Linked DNA regions of Arabidopsis thaliana. The protein of the gene in region 3 interacts with the protein of the main gene of each other region in a biochemical or structural test. Each region holds a gene or a part of one and is shown on either strand. Other genes may lie near its edges. The genes, in order: CDL1, CDG1 and BSU1.

Region 1 (4,806 bases), on a different chromosome or scaffold from region 3:
CTTTCTCCAACGAGCGTTTTGCGACTTAGACGTTTTGAAAGCAAAGACCATGCACTAATCATCAGCTAGCCTATTACTATGGCCAAATGACTTGTTTAATACTTTCTCGGTTAATGGTCTATACTAAATGTGAGTCTAATTCCGGTTATATTCTTGCAGTAACTGTAAGCAAGCACGAAGCAGTAAAGTGTATGAGACCAAACCACCTTGTACGAACAGGTGGTCTTTGGATATGAAGAAATAAGATGTGTACTTGAACCTGATGATGCAATAAGATTTGTACTTTAAGCAGCAACAGCTTAATCTGTATTCTAGTGTTGATCAAATTATCAACCATTGACATTGTTAATATATTACTGTATGATAGTAATACTATCAAAATCTCACACATTAAGAACCAGATGATGCAATAAGGATAAGGTGTATAGTTAACTTGCAGCAACAGCTTGATCTATATTTGACTGTTCACCAATAATCAATCCTTGACATTGTAATATGATATCAATACAATCAAAATCTCACACATTAAAGTTTTGAAAACTATAGTACTTTAATATTTATACAATAACTTTGGAATCGAAGCAGACATCCTCAGTACAATAATGAGAAATTGTCACATTTGAAAGCAAGCGCTCAATAAACATTACATTAAACAACATCACCTATAACAACATTATAAACCGGCCTCTATATGAATCTATCTCTTCTTACACATATCTACAAGTAGCTCTTAAGCCATACATTCACACTTAGTCTGAAAATCATCCACCTTTCCTCTCCAAGAAAGACAGCACGGAATGGGTTTAAGCTACATAACTTACACAGCATTGCGGTTCTCGGGATTATTTTCAGACCCTCTTTGATCTAGGTGGAGTCCCTGGAGCGAAAAGGGATCCTTGGACTGGCTGAGCCAGAGGATCAAACTTTTGGGAGGCGAGGTAAGAAAGTGCAGTGACGACGTCAGCAATGAGAGGTCTAAGATTTGGCTGCTCTTGTACGCACATCGCTGCTACAGCGAGTGCTTGGTATAACCCTCGCGGAGGGTATTGACCTTGAAGCATTGGATCAGCCATCTGAGAGAATTTCCTCCTGTCTTTAAACAAAGGCCTTGCCTGACATAGAGAGCATTTCAAAGAATACAATTAGAAGGAAGAATCCGCAGAGAAAACAAAGTTTGTTCCCAATTTGTTTTTTTTTCTTACCCATGCGACTAGATTCTGTTCTCCAGTAGATCTTGAACTGTCTATTGCTTTCCGACCAGTTATAATCTCCAACAGAACAACACCGAAGCTGTAAACGTCTGATTTGAGTGTTAGCTGGCCTGTCATTGCATACTCGGGAGCACAGTATCCGTATGTTCCCATAACCCGAGTGGACACATGAGACTTGTCCCCAACTGGGCCAAGTTTAGCCAACCCGAAGTCGGATAGCTTTGGAAAGTAATCATCATCGAGCAAAATATTTGAGCATTTCAAATCTCGATAGATCACTGGAGGCATGGTTTTGTCATGCAGATACTCCAAACCTTTTGCAGCACCGGCAGCTATTTTCATTCTGGTGTTCCAGTCAAGTGGCTGCTTACCAGGTGAAATGTCTGAAATAAAAAAAGCATCACCCGATTGAAATTTAAAGACTTCTCATAGGCATGTGTGATCTTAGAAGCGCATACCGTGCAAATGATCTTCAAGTGAACCTAGGGGCATGTACTCGTAGACTAGAAGCCTTTGATCTCCATCAGCACAATATCCTATTAAGTTAACAAGATTCGGGTGATGAAGAAGACTCAACATGAGAACCTCGACGAGGAACTCCCTGTTTCCTTGTAAACCATTATGATCAAGTTGCTTGATAGCCGCTGTCTACAAATGAAGATATAATGACAGTGAGCTTTCACTACCAAGAAGATTCAAAAGGTTAAAACCAAGCAAAAAAAAGGGAAGGAACCTGGCTAGTGCTGGCCAAGTATCCTTTGTAAACTCTACCAAATCCTCCTTCTCCTATAAGACATTCTTTTCTGAAGTTTCTAGTGGCAGTAGCTAACTCAGAGAATGTAAACGTTTGTGCCACAATGTGATCAGAGCCTTTACTTTTGGATTCACTCAAGGACGACTTGGCCCTAGATTTCTCTACAAAAAAAGAAAGAAAAGAAAGCGATAAGAAGAAATAATTAATCAACACAAGCTGAGCATAATTGTCTCAAGGTCAATAATCAACAAATTAAAGTTCTAAGAATATAGCAAGATACTTAAGGATCTAGCAAGTCCCATTTAAGAGTTTAATCCACAACTTCCACTGGAGAGCAATAACAACAATTAACAGGAAAGAGACATGCAATAACACATCACTGTCAAAATACTAACACAGGTGTTACAGAGTAGTCAAAAGCTAGTGAAATGGAAGGAAAAAAGCAATCTTTAAACAGAAAGTCAAAAACCCTAATCAGCATTAGCAAACGATGATGGCTCACAGGAATCAGAAAGTTTTAGCAAAGGATAAAAATTTCCATAATTTAGTAAGAGAAGGTTAAACCCAGAATTAAAATTGGACAAAGACTATAAAGAGAAATTACCTGAAGTAGACACAGAACAATCAGAAGACTTCCTGTCGAGTTTGTGGTCACCGTTCCTCCTTGTCTTATTCCTCCCACTCGATTTCCCAGAACACGGGATCCAACCCATTAAGCTTCTCACGATCTTCTTCTTCTTCAAATGATTCTTCGTTTCGATTGTGTTCGATGATCTCAAAAGCGAGAGAGAGAGAGAGAAGCTTAGAGAACTTTGAAATGTAAAAAAAGCACGCCAAGCCAATCGCTGGATTTTTCGATTTTTCTCTTTTGATATAAAATATATTTTTAAAACAATTTAATTTTTGTGATACAAATTAATGTGAATGGGTTTGACTTTGACAAATAAAAATTAATTGTCAAAGAAAAAAAGACAAACAAAAATTATATTTTATCAAAGTAGTATCAACTAACTACCCCCATGGAATTTAAATTTCTTTTCAACACACAAAAAGAGATTATTTGATTGAATAAATTTCTTGTGTTGTAAGTTGTAACAATATTGAAATTGAACTTTAATAAGCAACAATCGTGGTCACCATTATAGTTTCCAATCATTTGGGTATAAGAGATTGATTATTCCTATTTTAAAATGGTGTTTATCAAAGACAGATTTTTTCTAAGAATATATATATTTACGATATAAGCTAAATGATATTGAAAGAGATAATGTTGATACAATACGACACCGTACTATGCACGGCTCCAAAAGCAAGCTTATACCAAAAAATATACAGAGAAGGGGTTATTGTTTTACAAGTTTACAACATCTACAAAGATTTCACTACATCCTGAAACCAAACCCTTCGTCCTAATTTCACAAACCAGACCAGACAACGACAATAATAACAAACAATCAAATGTCGTAGTGTCTTTGTTTCGTGAATAGTAGTAGTATTATCAAAGAATCAGACTTTGAAGGGAAAATGTTAAAACATGTGATAGATATATATATATAAGATAGATATGAGCACATTACTCATGTTTTTGGGCTGAGAAATAGTGGGTTTTGTTGATTTTCCGTTAGCTATCCTCAATGTTTTTTATGTCGTTATCATCAGTTGCAGCGGCTGTTTTACGCACAAATTGGCCTCGCACTCGAGGGCGTTGTTCTGCTAGTTTTTTCCGGCTTTGGTATCGTACCTGAGAAAGCCAAAAAAAAAACATTTTTGCGGTTTGCATTTGCTTTCGCAATTTACAAGAATACTTTTTTTTTCCTTTGTTATAGATTTGACCGAGAATTTACCTTCTTTCGGAAGCACCTCTCTTTTCTCTTCTGACGGAACTTTGTCAAAGCAGCTTCCCTTTGAGAGATCTTATTTTCATCCGCCAAGTTTCCGCTACCACTTCCACTTCCGCTTCCACTACCATCGCCATTTCCATTTTTGCCAGCACCATTATCACTTCCCATATTCATTCCTCCAGCATTCATACCGTTACTGCTTCCATATGGCCCATTACTTCCATGACCACTACCTGATACACTTCCATTCACACTGTAATTCACTGTGTTGTTGTTACCTTCAATCGTTTCGTTGTACACATTTGAGGATCCACATTGTGGCGGTAGCTTCTTCCTCTCAGCGACATGGACAAGGTTATAGGAGGCATGATTATTATGATGATCACAGGGTAAAGGCTGAAACGATGAATGCTTCACTGATGAAGATCCTGCTGAGCTTACTTTTGGAGCTCCTGGTTTTGTGAAAGCGTTGTTCTCAGTCGTGGAACTCATATCAAAGTTATTGCTACCGACATGTGAGCGATGATTATGGGGGAGACTCTCATTCATGTTCGAGTGACAATCATATGCTGCTTCAGTCTTTTTTATAAGATCCTGACTATTATTATCCTGAAGCGAAGTGCTTCCTAAGTTCCCACCAGAAATCTTATTGGCATTTGAGGCTGGATTATACCTGCACAAGTCCAACAGTCGATCTCATAGTTCTTCAATAAGGCATTCAAAAGGTTGTGTACGGAAGAAAAAACAGAGGTTTGATTCTAAGAAAGTACCTTGAGAAAGCTGAGCCCTCTGAACGCCTCAGCACATTCCGATCATCCCTAACTAGTGTCCCATCATCTTTAGTTCCTCTATGCCTCTTTGAACTATGTTCCACGTGCATTAGCTCTTCAGAAATTTTAACAGAAGCTTCATTTGTATCTAAAGTTTTCAAGTGAGTGTTAGGCGCCTCAGGTTCTCTGTTATCTTGAAGGTGGCTAGACATAGCTTTGAAACTCGAGCC
Region 2 (5,257 bases), on a different chromosome or scaffold from region 3:
GAATGTTAAGCGTTATATGAATATGATCCATATGAATCCAGTGGCAGCGTTATATGGATGTTGGGGAGTCATGATACCGGTGTTGGAGGCTGTGAAGAAGGAATATCTATATGGAAAACAAGTCGCTATATAAACAATCATGTTTTCTACAACTAAAAAAAATTTGTATGATTTGCGATGTAACAGATGGATCGCAACTAATAATTTTTGAAGAACTTATTGTAGTTTCATCAAAAAGGCGATAGTAAAAAAAAGAAGATCAAAGATGAAAACGAATAAAAAAAGTAACAGAATTATTTCTCTGGTAGCATATAAGTCCTACCTATCGAAAGAAGCAACGTGCGATTTTACTTTTTCGATTATTTTGTTTTACCTAAATATTGGTTGTATGTGTATGTTTATTGATAACCATGTAATTTTTGATTCAATATAATAAAATTAAATATTAAAAAAAATGAAATGAAAAAGTTTACGTCCAAAATATTAATTTTTTTGTTATGAAACAAAATCTTAATCGAATTAAATAAACCGAAGTTATTGAAGCAGATGAAATTTGTAAGAAATCAATTTGATGTTAGTACATATATAAAAACAAACATAAATCTAGTATTAACTAAATTGCCATGTTTAAATGTTTTAACAAAATTTGGTTTCTAACAATAGTCTCACCAAACAAACTTAACCAAATATAACTTGAAAAACAAGTTAATAAAAATTTACTTCACTTTCATGGAGTCGGAGTTGGTGGCGTAGCCCCTCTCCTATTCATACCGGCCCAAGTACGAGCATCATCCACGATTACCCTCCTTCTCTCAATAGCTTCTTCACTAGTTACGTATTCTTCTTCTTCTTCTAACATCCTCATCATTGTCTCATCCGGTGACCTCGATGTCCCCGCCCCATCCTTATTTCCTCCTAGTAGTCTACGCCTAGTTCTCCTTTCCTTCCTAATTGTGTGATCAATGATATACTTAAGACACTCCACGACTTGGCTGATCGATGGTCTAGCGTTTGCTTCTTCTGCTAGGCACAGAAAGGCCACTTCAATACCTCTATAAAGAAGTATATTCGAAAAACCGCCTTTTCTTGCTAACCTTGGATCTACAATCTGCCTTATTCTGCCATTCAAGAACAACGGTCGTGCCTGTTAAGAAAAAAAAAAAGAAACACATGAACATGTCGTCATCAAAATCGGAACATTCATTAGTCTAATACGTATCCACACATCATTAAGGGCCATAACACGAAACTCTTTTTCATCAGCATAACCAAAATCAAAACCTATATATGGTTAAAGGTCAATAGTAAAACCACTACCATTTTTACGAAAAATCAAAATTGATAGCATATGGTTTAATGGTTAATTGATTAATCTAAACCCTAAACCCTAAATCGTAAACGGTATAATTATGCAAAATCGACCAAAAGGTCACCATCAAAACAATTTTTCTCTTAAGCAAAATTGGAATTTAGATAGATATAATCTGGTTATATAGTCTAAAAGAAGCAAAGCCTATAAATGGTCATAAGGAAAAAACTAATCCATCCTTAAGCAAAATAAGGTTGAGAGGATTACCCAATGCACAAGATAGCGACTTTGATTACCAACGCATTCGGATGAGGGCATAAGAGCTTTGCGTCCACTGATAAGCTCCAGCAGCACAACTCCAAAGCTATAAATATCAGATTTCAGCGTCAACTTCCCGGTGTTCGCGTACTCTGGTGCACAATACCCATGAGTTCCCATAACTCTAGTAGAGACATGAGACATATCATCACTTGGACCAAACTTTGCAAGTCCAAAATCTGAGAGCTTAGGTTTATAGTCATGATCCAACAATATGTTTGAAGTTTTCAAATCTCTGTATATCACAGGAGGTTGTGCTTCGTTGTGAAGAAACGCTAACCCTTTAGCCGCTCCTAGAGCTATCTTCATCCTTGTCTTCCAATCTAAAGCCTCTTGACCCTCGCTAAGATCTGACAAAACAACACAAGAATTTAAAAAACTTTAATGAATCTCGTTCTTGAAAATTTCTTGGTTTGAGTGTAGTTTTTTTTTTACCGTAGAGATGATCTTCTACAGATCCAAGAGGCATGTATTCATAGACAACGAGTCTTTGATCGCCTTCAGCACAATAACCGAACAAATGCACTAGGTTTCGGTGGTGCAAGAGCGAGAGCATTAGGACTTCCACAAGAAACTCTTTGTCTCCTTGAATACCAGACTGATCAAGCATTTTAACAGCTATGTTCTTGAATTAAGACCAACAACAAAGCACAATGACAAACAGTTAGAGATTTCACAACGACAAGATTATTGATTTGATTAGTCCAAATGTTAATAATAGATTACCTGTCCAGTGCTTAGCCTTCCTTTATACACAGTTCCAAATCCACCTCTTCCGATCAAAGATTCATTCCTGAAGCTGTTAGTCGCGATGGCGAGTTCTCTGTATGAGAAAATCTGACATCTGTATCTAGAAGAATCTTGCACTACGGTTTGTGAACTTGACGAATCTACTTCTTTTGCTGTTCCAGCTGGTTGGGCTACAGAGGAACAAAACAACACAATGAGAGACTATATCACATATGTTATTGGATCACAAGTAGATTAAAAAGACATTTATCAGCCAAATACACAAATCTTTGAACTATAAAACACAAACCCTAAGCCGGGATTTGTACGATCCGTATAAACTAATCACAAGACAAATACTATATGTATCATTAATAAATAAGCTATTTAAAAGAAAAGGGAGATTTTATCATGATTTACTACTAATGACTGGTATTAAAGATGACTAATCTCAAGATTAATCTATAAATAATAATAAAAAGATCAAAGGGAAGTGAGAGGAACCAGAAGAGGAGGATGTCTGGTTACGTATGGATCTCTTATGAGATTTGTCTTTGAGCTTCGTTTTCCGACTGGGACGAAAACACAAGCAACTAACCATGTTTTCTTTTAATCAATCTCAAGGAAAATAATCTTTTTGTTGTTGGTGTCACTCAATAAACAAAGATATACACACACATACACTCTCTATATGGTTTATCAATAGGGCTCAAGAGATGATCACACACGAGGACAAAGAACTAACGGTTTTGTTATCAAAAAGATGAAAACTTTGAAGGAATCAGACGAACCCCAAGAAACACACGATCAACAGAGATTCGAGTTTTGGGAATAATTTTCCATCAAAAATTGATTACAAAAAAACACGAGAAATTTGTGAGGTGATAAGGAAGGAGATTTAGATTAAAATCGAGAGTTTTCGTAAAATTTTGGGGGATTTAGATAAGATTTGGTTGAAGGGGTTTTGATAGGAAGGAAAGACACGTAATCAACAAAAGAGAGCATGGGGGTGCAATATATATGGTACGTTACTCACCAATTGCTTCTATGAGATAAAATCATTTATTGTTTTATTATGCCATTGAGGGTAATAATCTACAATGTTAATTGTTTTATAGTAAGTTTCTCCTTTATATCCCTGGAATTTATAATTGTGATAAATGTTGGATTCTGAATTTAAACTAATTTTTAAGACAAAAATTAGAAAATAATCCTCACGTTAAGTATTTCTAAATTCTAATAGTGATATATTAGATGATAACTATGTTTGTTATGCATTCAAAAAAGGCCCAAAACTATAGACGTAACGACAAAAAAATTATCAACGTTTTTGAAATTCATTGAAGAATTTTTTTTGTTGGTTGGTTTTGGTGCAAAATAATTTTTAAGTGTATTGCAAAAACCGCAGAGAATAACAAAATTTTGATAAACAAATTCATGTAACGTGAGCTACAAGTATTAAAGATTCCCAGTCTAAAACTCAATAATTTTTAACAGACGATGAAAACGGCAAGATGCTTTTCCCTATGTTTAACCTCAAAATTAAAAGGAACGCTGATAATGGTAAAATTTAGGCCAATATATCCATGCAATGTAAGTTAAAAGATTTTATCAAAGATTCTCTGTCTGAGACATAAGACAGTTCCGAACCAAATTTGGAAACACATTCAACTTCTATTTCACATTATTCAATATACGATAATGATAATTATCGGAACTTTTTTTTTATGGTTTCTATGGATTTTATGACTCCATTCTTATCATTTTGTGCATAAAAGTCTAGTAATTAACAAAACTAAAGAAAGAGGAGAGGGAAACAGTATTAACAAGTATTAATTATACGAACGTATACACATTTGATTCTTGGTTGTGTTCTTCTCTAGCTCCACTATGAGGTTCAAATTCAAAAGTTGTTTTTGATTTAGCCAAGACTTTAAAGAAGCCTTGGCCGAGATTTTATGACGACAGATAACGGTCAATAATGATGGTTAACGTTGTTGATCGGTTTTTACGATCGGTTAAGGTTCTGACATTAGTACAATATGTAATGTAAATCATGTGATGTGAGTCATGGAGCCATACCACTCTTAAAATTTGGAGATTGTATGGTAGTACGTAGAATAAAAAGTATGGTAGACAGTACATGATTATGAATGAATCATGACGTTCTCAAATCTTTTTGTAATCAGATTTTATTTCCATCACAATTATTTATTTTTAGTCATTACAAAAGTTTACACCAAAATAGCAATTGTTACCTTTAAAATGCATATTTTACAAGAACTACTTACATAATTAGTTTTGTCCATCTTAAACTAGCTCTCACCTATACCTGAACCTACTTGCAATGTTAGTAGCAAATTTCTAACGACGAGAATAATAATAATGAAATTAACAATCTGCAAGTGGTAGTAAATTGAAGTTTCACTAACCGAGAATCAATTTTTGTATTAGGAAAAGTTTGATTCCACGAGATGATGTTCCATCTTTAATGTCTGACACCAGCTTTATTCCTCTCTTAATCTTACTTTGTTTCTAATAAACACCAGAAGTCTTCTCTTACTTATAGCTGGATATATTTGACTTCGGTTTAATTAGTTAGTTCGGTTTGGGTTTAGTTATTTAGACCTGGTAAGAAAGCCGGTTCAATTTAAGAAGGGAGTAGTAAAACCATATATTGAACCAAGAGGCCAGCTAGTTACTCGTAGGCCTGGGCGTTCGGTTTGCTTAATTCGGTTTGGGTCCGGTTATTTAGAACAAAAAGTTTGATATGGCCGGTTCAATTAAAGAAGGGGAAGTAGATTTGAAGAATAAAACCAGTGAGTCCATTTATAACCAAGAGTCCAGAATCTTTTTCAAGAAGTCATTATATGATTGTTACAGTGCTTACGTACTCTTTCT
Region 3 (7,786 bases):
AATACTATGTTTTTATTTTTTTGGTTAAAGTTTTTGAGGAACAGAGTGTTTCATCGTGTTAAAAAAAAACTTTTAAAGGAAAAAACGATTCGTTTATTCGTTGGTGAGAATGAAGATTAGAGTTTTGGTGTGTACAAGTGTCTTTGGAATAAGGATTATATTGATGTGAGGATGAAGATTGTCCACTATCCATCGTTTCTGCGTATTTAAAATTGGAAAATGATGGTTTTGTTTTATTGAAGAGTGTTCAAAATGGTTTCATGAATGATCTTGTTTACCAAAATTTGTTTTCAGAAAAGTAATAACTTAAAATTCGTTTTAATAGAAAAAAAGGAGTGGGAGATGACAAATGAGTAAGCAGTTTCAGTTCAAATGAAATAAAAAAATTCATAGGAAAATAAATGAGTAATCAATTCTAGAAATCAAAACATTTATGAACACAACAATCAGAATGATAATGGAATGGGAATATTTTTTTGGTAATGAATGGAATGGGAATATATGCTTTTTAAGTTTCAACCTCATAACCATTTATTAAAATTATAAAAGTAGAAATAAATCAGGCAAAATGGAATAATGAACAATTGTTTTCCAAACTTAAGTATATTAAAGAAAATCACTTTTAAAATTGTCCTCTGCCAATACCAAAATAGAAAGAAATGAAAAGAAAAAGGTTCCGGTACACTTGTGCAGCTTGCAAATGAAACATTTACACCTCTTCAACCGCACAACTTCTATACCAAATATCTGCCTTTATTCACTTGACTCCCCTCGAGCTGGAGTAGGCGGCATCTCGATGTTCAGCTCCTGAGTCCATCACAAAAGTACTTAAAAGCTCGGTTACCACAACATGTTTCATATGCTCAATATCTATTCTATATGGTAAAGAAACGGGAGGCTTACCTGCATCCATGCTTTGTCTGTATAGTCTTCTTCTGAAGATGAGATGGGAGGAGGGTGAGGATGAATCAGCTTAGGATAAATTACCATATCTCTACCAATTACCAATATTGCTCCCGCATTTTGTGCAGTTCCTGCTCATCACACACACAATGTTTTTTATTCACATGCCTATTATATGTATGCAAATGTCGAAATAAATGAAAGTTTCTATAAACATAACAAATGTACCACAGTAATTTGTAGCAGAAAAGACTGTTATAAGCCGTCCGTCAGCGAATCTTTCAAAGCCGTCAATAACACACTCGTGTGCTCTTAGTATCATCTCCAGACCATTCCTTTCTAGAAATGCCTTGACTATATCAGGCTTCATTTATAAGACAAGAATATGCGTTAGTAGTTGAGCTTGAAAATGGTATTCATAAAGTAAAAGATAAATAAGGAATAGGCCTAACCCCAAATGAGACAACACCTTCTCCTCTGGCATTGTCTACTATACCCAAAACAGTGTCATTCATCGTAGGATCTGACCTGTTTATCCATAAAAAAATGTTATTACACAGCTTGGAAAGAAAAAAAGTTAGAAATAGTTGAGAGTATGTTACCATAAGATGTCTTTCAAGACCATTGATCCAGTATCCGGGAATGCCGGCCTTTCGATATTTTCAATTTCTTCGATCGTAACTGCCCTCCCAATTCCGCCATGGACACACAAAACTTTCTTTTCTAGAAGTGCAGCAAGCGGAAGATAATCAAAAACTTGATTAATCTTTAACCATGCTTCGAACCCATAGGACTCGCCCTGGTAACGTACAGAACAAGATTATATATGTTACTTCATTAATTAGCCAATGACAATGAGAATATATATTCTCTGAAGAGACGTACCATTCTTTCTTCGCATTCTGTAAGAAAACCATAAATTCTATTCATTGCAAGAGACTCATGATTTCCACGAATCAAGTGGATGTTCTTCGGATATTCTATCTGCGTATAAGAGACAGATCTTAGAAGATACTAAAATCAAAAAGTCATAACATATAAGAAAGAATATCTTACCTTCAAAGCAAACAGCAACATGATGATCTCCAAGCTGTGTTGTCCACGGTCAACATAATCTCCCAAAAACAAATAGTCTATATGGCTGATGAAGACGTATATATATTTAGACACACACACAACGATTGGTTCAGTGACTAATATTCATGAACAAAACTCAAAAACCAGTAAAAACATGCTAGGAAGCTTGAACTTACGTGATATCTCCTTCCACTGAAGGATGTCCATATTCATGAAATAAACGCATCAAATCCCCGTATTGTCCATGGATATCGCCGAAGACTTTGATTGGAACTTTGAGCTGAAGAAGTGTTGGTTCATTCATAAATATTTTCTCTACCTCATCGCACAAATGCTTAACTTCTAAATAACTCAAGAAAAAATCTCTGTTGGCAGGAGGCGTCCAGGTTTTAGGTCTCAACAGTGTCGAAATGACCTGCAAAGCAAGCAACGTGTAAGTGCATGAAGATGGGAATATATGCTGAAAGCAAGATCATATATATATATACACCTTCTTATGCAAGTCTTGAGTAGATTGATCCAAGCTTGCAGTTCTCACCAAGCCACCTCGATTTCCAACCGTCTCCTTTGAAATCACAACCAACACTCATTTATTGAACATATAACATTCTATATAAAGAAAGATAGAGGAGTGAAGGAAAAAAATATTATTCCACATACAGCTCCATGTTGAAGTGGAACGTATCCTTCAATAGCACTATCATAAAAAGCATTTTCGATAGTTGGTAAGTTATGTGCCTCTGCCAATCTATCCATCGCAATTTCACTTGTGCTGATATCATTATGGAAGAAAGAAGGATTTGTTTAAAAAAACAAAAAAACCTATATAGGATTAAGCACAGAACAAAAGAGTGTAGAAAAGTGTGTACGAGTATAGACCTCCTCATTATAAAGGATGAAGCTTCTGGTTCAGAACTTAAAGGCTTAGGTTCATCCATTAGATAGTCGTCGAGCAACATATCTACACGAGAATAAAATTCAAGCAATTATTGTTAAAAGAAACTTTGTTACTTTTAACTCAAGGAAGAAATCTGCAAACTTGGAAAAAGTCAAATTGATTAGTGCTTAGATATGCAAAAACCATAGGACTAATATATGAAAGTCAAAACTATATAAGTTTCCTTTGATTTTACAATTATCAGGATTATCTTCTTCTGGTTCAGGACTTGAAGACTGGGATGTTTCAGCAACTAGCAAATCGTCGAGCAATACATCTACACAAGAATAAAAACAACAATGGAATTGTCATAAATATTGTTACTTTGCCTTAACTCAAAGAAGATGAATAAAAACAATGAAATTGACTAGTGCTAAGATATGCAAAATCCATCTCAAAAAACAAAATTTGTATAAGTTCCTTTTATTTTAATGTCAATATAATTTAAAAATTCAGGGCTACCTTCTCTAATCCCGCCATGCACATATAGGTGGCTGCCAAACGATGCAGCAGCATGGTGACAACGTCGCATAAGTTGATATTGATTTTGTCTATTGGCGCCGCTCGCAGAGGTCTCTGGTTGATTGGTATCTACCCATTCACCAGTCTCAGTATCAAGCACTGCAAGGAAGTTTTTTTTTTTTCCATAACATTATCCACTACTAAGTCTGATATATATCTGATAAGGATCAAACTCAGATTCTCTAGAAAACAGCGGTTAGATATTTACCAGCAACAACTGCTTCACCATCGATTAGGCGAGCCCTATTCAGTATACCCCCAATGACATGCAGTTTTGAACCTCCGAAAACCTAATAAGAGAGACAATGAAGTTAAGGAAGTTTTTGCAAAAGATAGGATTAGAGCATGGAAGTGTTGGTTCTCACCGCAGTATGTTGATATCTCGGGGAAGGAGCTACAGCTGGAACAGGAGTCCAAACATTATCGCTATCCATTTTCAGCCCGTAAGTATCTCCCAGTGTCTGGAAAAGGCAAGCATTAGGGTGTATATACATGTCACAATTCAATGAAAGAGATTGGAAAAACAAAAGGTTGGCTATTGTAGTAAACAAGAACTTCGACTTTTTAAAACTTCTATGTCCTATTTACATAAAATAATCTATGTAATTTTAATTAGGGAAGAAATATTATACCACTCCTGAGTGATCTATTCCACCGCAGAGCAAAAAAATACCATCTTCTCGAGAACTACCTGAAGCATACCTACAAAAATGTTAAACAATGAAGAGTTATAACTCAAAGCAATGTGTTAGAGTATACTTAAATCAACTAAATTACTAACATTCTCCCACTTGGCTGATTGCCAGACGGGTTCAATCTGTCCCATGAAAATGGTCCACGCGTGTCCAATGCCCATGTATCATCCAGAATTTCATTTCCTACTCCATAGACAAAAGTCGTTTTAGGATGTTTAAATATGACATTTTTACAAAATAAAATAGGATAATGATAACCGAAATTAAAGTTCCTTCGTAGAAACATAAATGAAAACATTGTTGGAAGATATATACATATTTGTTTCGCTAAGATAATTTTGAAATGCCAAATATAGATTAGGAATTTGTTCGATGGAGACATTCTCCCTTTCTGAGGGAAACATATCATGCATCTAAATGTTTTCTTACTTATGGATGTACTATATGATATATTGATATGTATAAGTTAAACAGAAAACTGAAGCTATATATACGATTACAAAATGCAAAAGAGAGACAACATATATCAATGCCAAACGAAAGCGGAAAACATAGATAGACGTACCATTATTCCCGCTGAATATGACAAGCCACCTCTGAGCAGCTATATCCATAACATGGCCATAGCGAGGGCTTGGAGTCTCCCCTCCAACCAGAAACCTGAACGGACATTAAATGCGTAAAAAAAAATTCAGTAACAAAATAGATCTAGCAAAGATTTATAAATTCATAAATGAACTGACTTAATCCACTTGTTATTAGTCATGTCAAGCATGTAGACATCTCCATCAGAAGGTCCGGATGGACCAATCCCACCCTGCCAACAACAAAAACGACATGCTCATATGTTAGATCATAGACTATTGCAACCTAAACATCCATCGTGACATATGTAAACTTCATGAACGATGCTATGACAATCAAATTAAAACAAAATCTTTCCAGATCTGTGTTCTCGGACAATCACCTGAATAAGGATCAAGGTGCCATATAAAGCGGCAGCATGACAAGCCCTGGGAGACGGAACGTCACCAATCGGATTAAGCCTACACAATTACGAATCGTTACAAAGAGATCCTATTAGAATAATGAACTAAATGATTTCCTAAATTCTAATAAGATCCACCTCTTCTAAACCAATTGAAATCATCAATAAGAAAAAAAAAACCTAGAAACAAACATCAAGATCCTCAATTACCTTGTCCACTTCCTGGTCAAAACATCAAAAGAATGGACCGAATTGGTGACGCCATCTAAACCTAGAAAAACAAATCACATTACAAGAAACAAAGCCATCATCATCAGAGAGGATCTCGAAATCTCAAAACCCTAAAAATTTCGAAAAATCGGGAGTAAAATCTTACTGATCTCGGGTAAGGAGGAGTTATGGTTGGCGACGGCAGTAGTACTGCCGCCGAAGAGGATAAGCTGATGGGAATTGTTGACGAAAACCGCCGTGAGAGTATGGCCGCATCTAGGACCCGGCCAATCCTCATCGGTATCGTAAAAGGTCTGTATCGATTCATACGAAGGAGATGGATATTGATAAGATTGATCAGGAGCCATAACACAATATTTTGTGGTGGAGAAAGGTGGTGAAATCCAATCGCCTTCGTCTCCATTTTATAGCCTAAAATTTGTCCACGAGCGCACTCTTTTAGTTTTGGTAAGCAAATAATGAAGTTTAGACTCCGACGAAATTTCTTGAATGGCATTGGTGTCCAACGGCTAAGCGATTAGTGAAATTACGAAAATGCCCACGCTATATAGTCTTTGAATGGCGCTTATTGCCTCGTTTGCTGGTCGTTGTTCAATAATTTTTTTCCCTTTCGTACAAAATGGTAAAATAGAAATACGACGCGTTTTAAAAAGTGCGCGGCATACTTGTTCTCGAGACTTTTTGTATATTGTTTCCTCCAATTTGATAGTTTTATCGACCGGACCGGAATAGACTTTTTGGTATATTTATTGTTTTAATTTTATTTTTAAATGATAAAGTTAAGGTTTTAGCAAAGTTTTCCAACTCTCTAATTTTCATAATGACTAGATTTCTTTCCGAAAAATCAATCTATTTTATTAATTAAAAATGTATGTTCATTGTAATTTATTTAAGAATACGACCTCCCATTTATAAGAAATATATTTACTGCCAAAAGAAGAAGAATATAATATACAGTCATTTATATAAAATATAATTGTGGACCTTTTAGTTAATTATACCAAATAAGAGATAATAATTATATTAATTATCAATTAATGAGTTGTGGACCCTTTGTTGATTTTTAAAAGTAATTAAAATATATTAGGACTATTTTAATTTTAAAATGAAATGTGGACCTATAATTTTAATTACCAAATGATAACATGTGAGCTGTATATTGAGATTTAATATAAAAACTTAAATTTAAAGTCTTAGAACATTTTGATTTCTTTATATATTTTGATCTTTACTCTACTAAAAAAAAAAGGATACGAAAATAAAATGTTTGAATTGTCAACAACTCAACATTACTTGATTCATTTTAATCAATTCATCTATAATATTGCAACATTTTTGTATATATGCAGTTTCTTAATAGTCAAGAATATATTACATCGTTGACTCTGTTTTATCCATCAGGGAGCAGAAGCACAACAATACTGTTAGAGAGAAAACAAGGAGAGAAAAATCCTCCAATTTTCTGGAAAAAAACTACAATCAAACATTCTTAAAGAAGTCTTCAAGAACGGGACTTTTAAGAATGAACAAGATTAATAAATGAAATTATAATGGTTAATAATCATAACATTTATACATGAACTTTTCAATGATAGACATAAGTCACAAATTGACAAAGTTTAGAAAAGAGAAAAATAGAAGAAGAGTGAGTGGAAGAGAATCCTTTTGCATGAAGATACAGCTTTTCTGAGTGATTGAGAATTTCTGACCCACATGATCAGACTTGGCAAATGTTAGTTAATTACGGCCATCAACTTTTTGTTCTCCAGTTCCATCAAGATCCATCTTAGTGTCTCAACCGGATTTGCCGTTAACCGCACAGCGAACTCTTAATGATGAAGAGATGTCAGTGGTTTTTACGAGTTTAATAAACCGTTAAATAACGGGTTTTTACTCTGTTGTTGTTGCTGCTGTTGACCGTTGTCTCTCTTAAGCTGGACTTTCAATTTCTTACCGCTTAATTGGCAACCGTTCATTGTGTTAATAGCGTTCTGAGCAGCTGCCTGTGAGTCATAACTAATGAATCCTGCGTGCAGCAACAAAAGGGTTGCGTAACGGTTAATTCGAGTCTAGGGGAAAGAATGAAGATGATAGAGGAAGAAAGCAAGAGCTTACCGAAACATTTGCTTATACCAGTGGCCTTGTCTACAAACACCTTGGCGCTTAGAACCTTACCAAAAGGTTGAAACGTAGCCGCGAGTTCTTGATCCTCGAATTCCCGAGGTATGTTATAAATAAATAGATTCGCACCTGCTGGTCCTGAGAACATCAAAGAAATTGCTTTAAATATCAGTAACATAACGACTAGAAACTTATCAAAATCTTATTTGTTCTTGTTTTGGACTAACTAAACCTTCTGTTTGAAGCGAGGAAGGTATCGATGTGCCGTTATTAGAAATTCCAGGTGAAACTGTGGTTAGAGGAAGGCGAGGA

What was found.
Region 1: of the proteins of BSU1 (region 3) and CDL1, one has a biochemical effect on the other in vitro, tested with the Arabidopsis thaliana proteins (one study listed by BioGRID).
Region 2: of the proteins of BSU1 (region 3) and CDG1, one has a biochemical effect on the other in vitro, tested with the Arabidopsis thaliana proteins (one study listed by BioGRID).

The regions. Positions count from the first base shown.
Region 1 is NC_003076.8:634,697-639,502, forward strand, and holds CDL1 (Protein kinase superfamily protein), read right to left. Parts: upstream 2,873-4,806; 5' UTR 2,679-2,872; coding exon 2,570-2,678; intron 2,127-2,569; coding exon 1,945-2,126; intron 1,860-1,944; coding exon 1,670-1,859; intron 1,595-1,669; coding exon 1,203-1,594; intron 1,113-1,202; coding exon 849-1,112; 3' UTR 511-848; downstream 1-510. Other genes in the region: GSTL3 (Glutathione S-transferase family protein), read left to right, coding at 160-162; PRR7 (pseudo-response regulator 7), read right to left, coding at 3,587-3,706, 3,810-4,479, 4,577-4,806. UniProt on the Arabidopsis thaliana protein: Serine/threonine-protein kinase involved in the positive regulation of brassinosteroid (BR) signaling and plant growth. Phosphorylates both BSU1 and BSL1 in vitro.
Region 2 is NC_003074.8:9,935,980-9,941,236, forward strand, and holds CDG1 (Protein kinase superfamily protein), read right to left. Parts: upstream 3,327-5,257; 5' UTR 2,958-3,326; coding exon 2,861-2,957; intron 2,548-2,860; coding exon 2,354-2,547; intron 2,253-2,353; coding exon 2,063-2,252; intron 1,978-2,062; coding exon 1,577-1,977; intron 1,145-1,576; coding exon 728-1,144; 3' UTR 603-727; downstream 1-602. Other genes in the region: AT3G26950 (uncharacterized protein), read right to left, coding at 5,223-5,257. UniProt on the Arabidopsis thaliana protein: Serine/threonine-protein kinase involved in the positive regulation of brassinosteroid (BR) signaling and plant growth. Mediates BR signal transduction from BRI1 receptor kinase to BSU1 phosphatase.
Region 3 is NC_003070.9:853,900-861,685, forward strand, and holds BSU1 (Serine/threonine protein phosphatase family protein), read right to left. Parts: upstream 5,803-7,786; 5' UTR 5,701-5,802; coding exon 5,499-5,700; intron 5,394-5,498; coding exon 5,333-5,393; intron 5,181-5,332; coding exon 5,102-5,180; intron 4,952-5,101; coding exon 4,878-4,951; intron 4,795-4,877; coding exon 4,700-4,794; intron 4,318-4,699; coding exon 4,221-4,317; intron 4,142-4,220; coding exon 4,072-4,141; intron 3,901-4,071; coding exon 3,805-3,900; intron 3,730-3,804; coding exon 3,648-3,729; intron 3,539-3,647; coding exon 3,380-3,538; intron 3,195-3,379; coding exon 3,114-3,194; intron 2,942-3,113; coding exon 2,860-2,941; intron 2,753-2,859; coding exon 2,641-2,752; intron 2,546-2,640; coding exon 2,471-2,545; intron 2,396-2,470; coding exon 2,157-2,395; intron 2,045-2,156; coding exon 1,960-2,044; intron 1,888-1,959; coding exon 1,789-1,887; intron 1,703-1,788; coding exon 1,506-1,702; intron 1,432-1,505; coding exon 1,356-1,431; intron 1,268-1,355; and 9 more. Other genes in the region: AT1G03457 (RNA-binding (RRM/RBD/RNP motifs) family protein), read right to left, coding at 7,210-7,379, 7,469-7,612, 7,707-7,786. UniProt on the Arabidopsis thaliana protein: Phosphatase that acts as a positive regulator of brassinosteroid (BR) signaling. Dephosphorylates BES1, a transcription factor that regulates the expression of BR-response genes, thereby playing an important role in the regulation of response to BRs.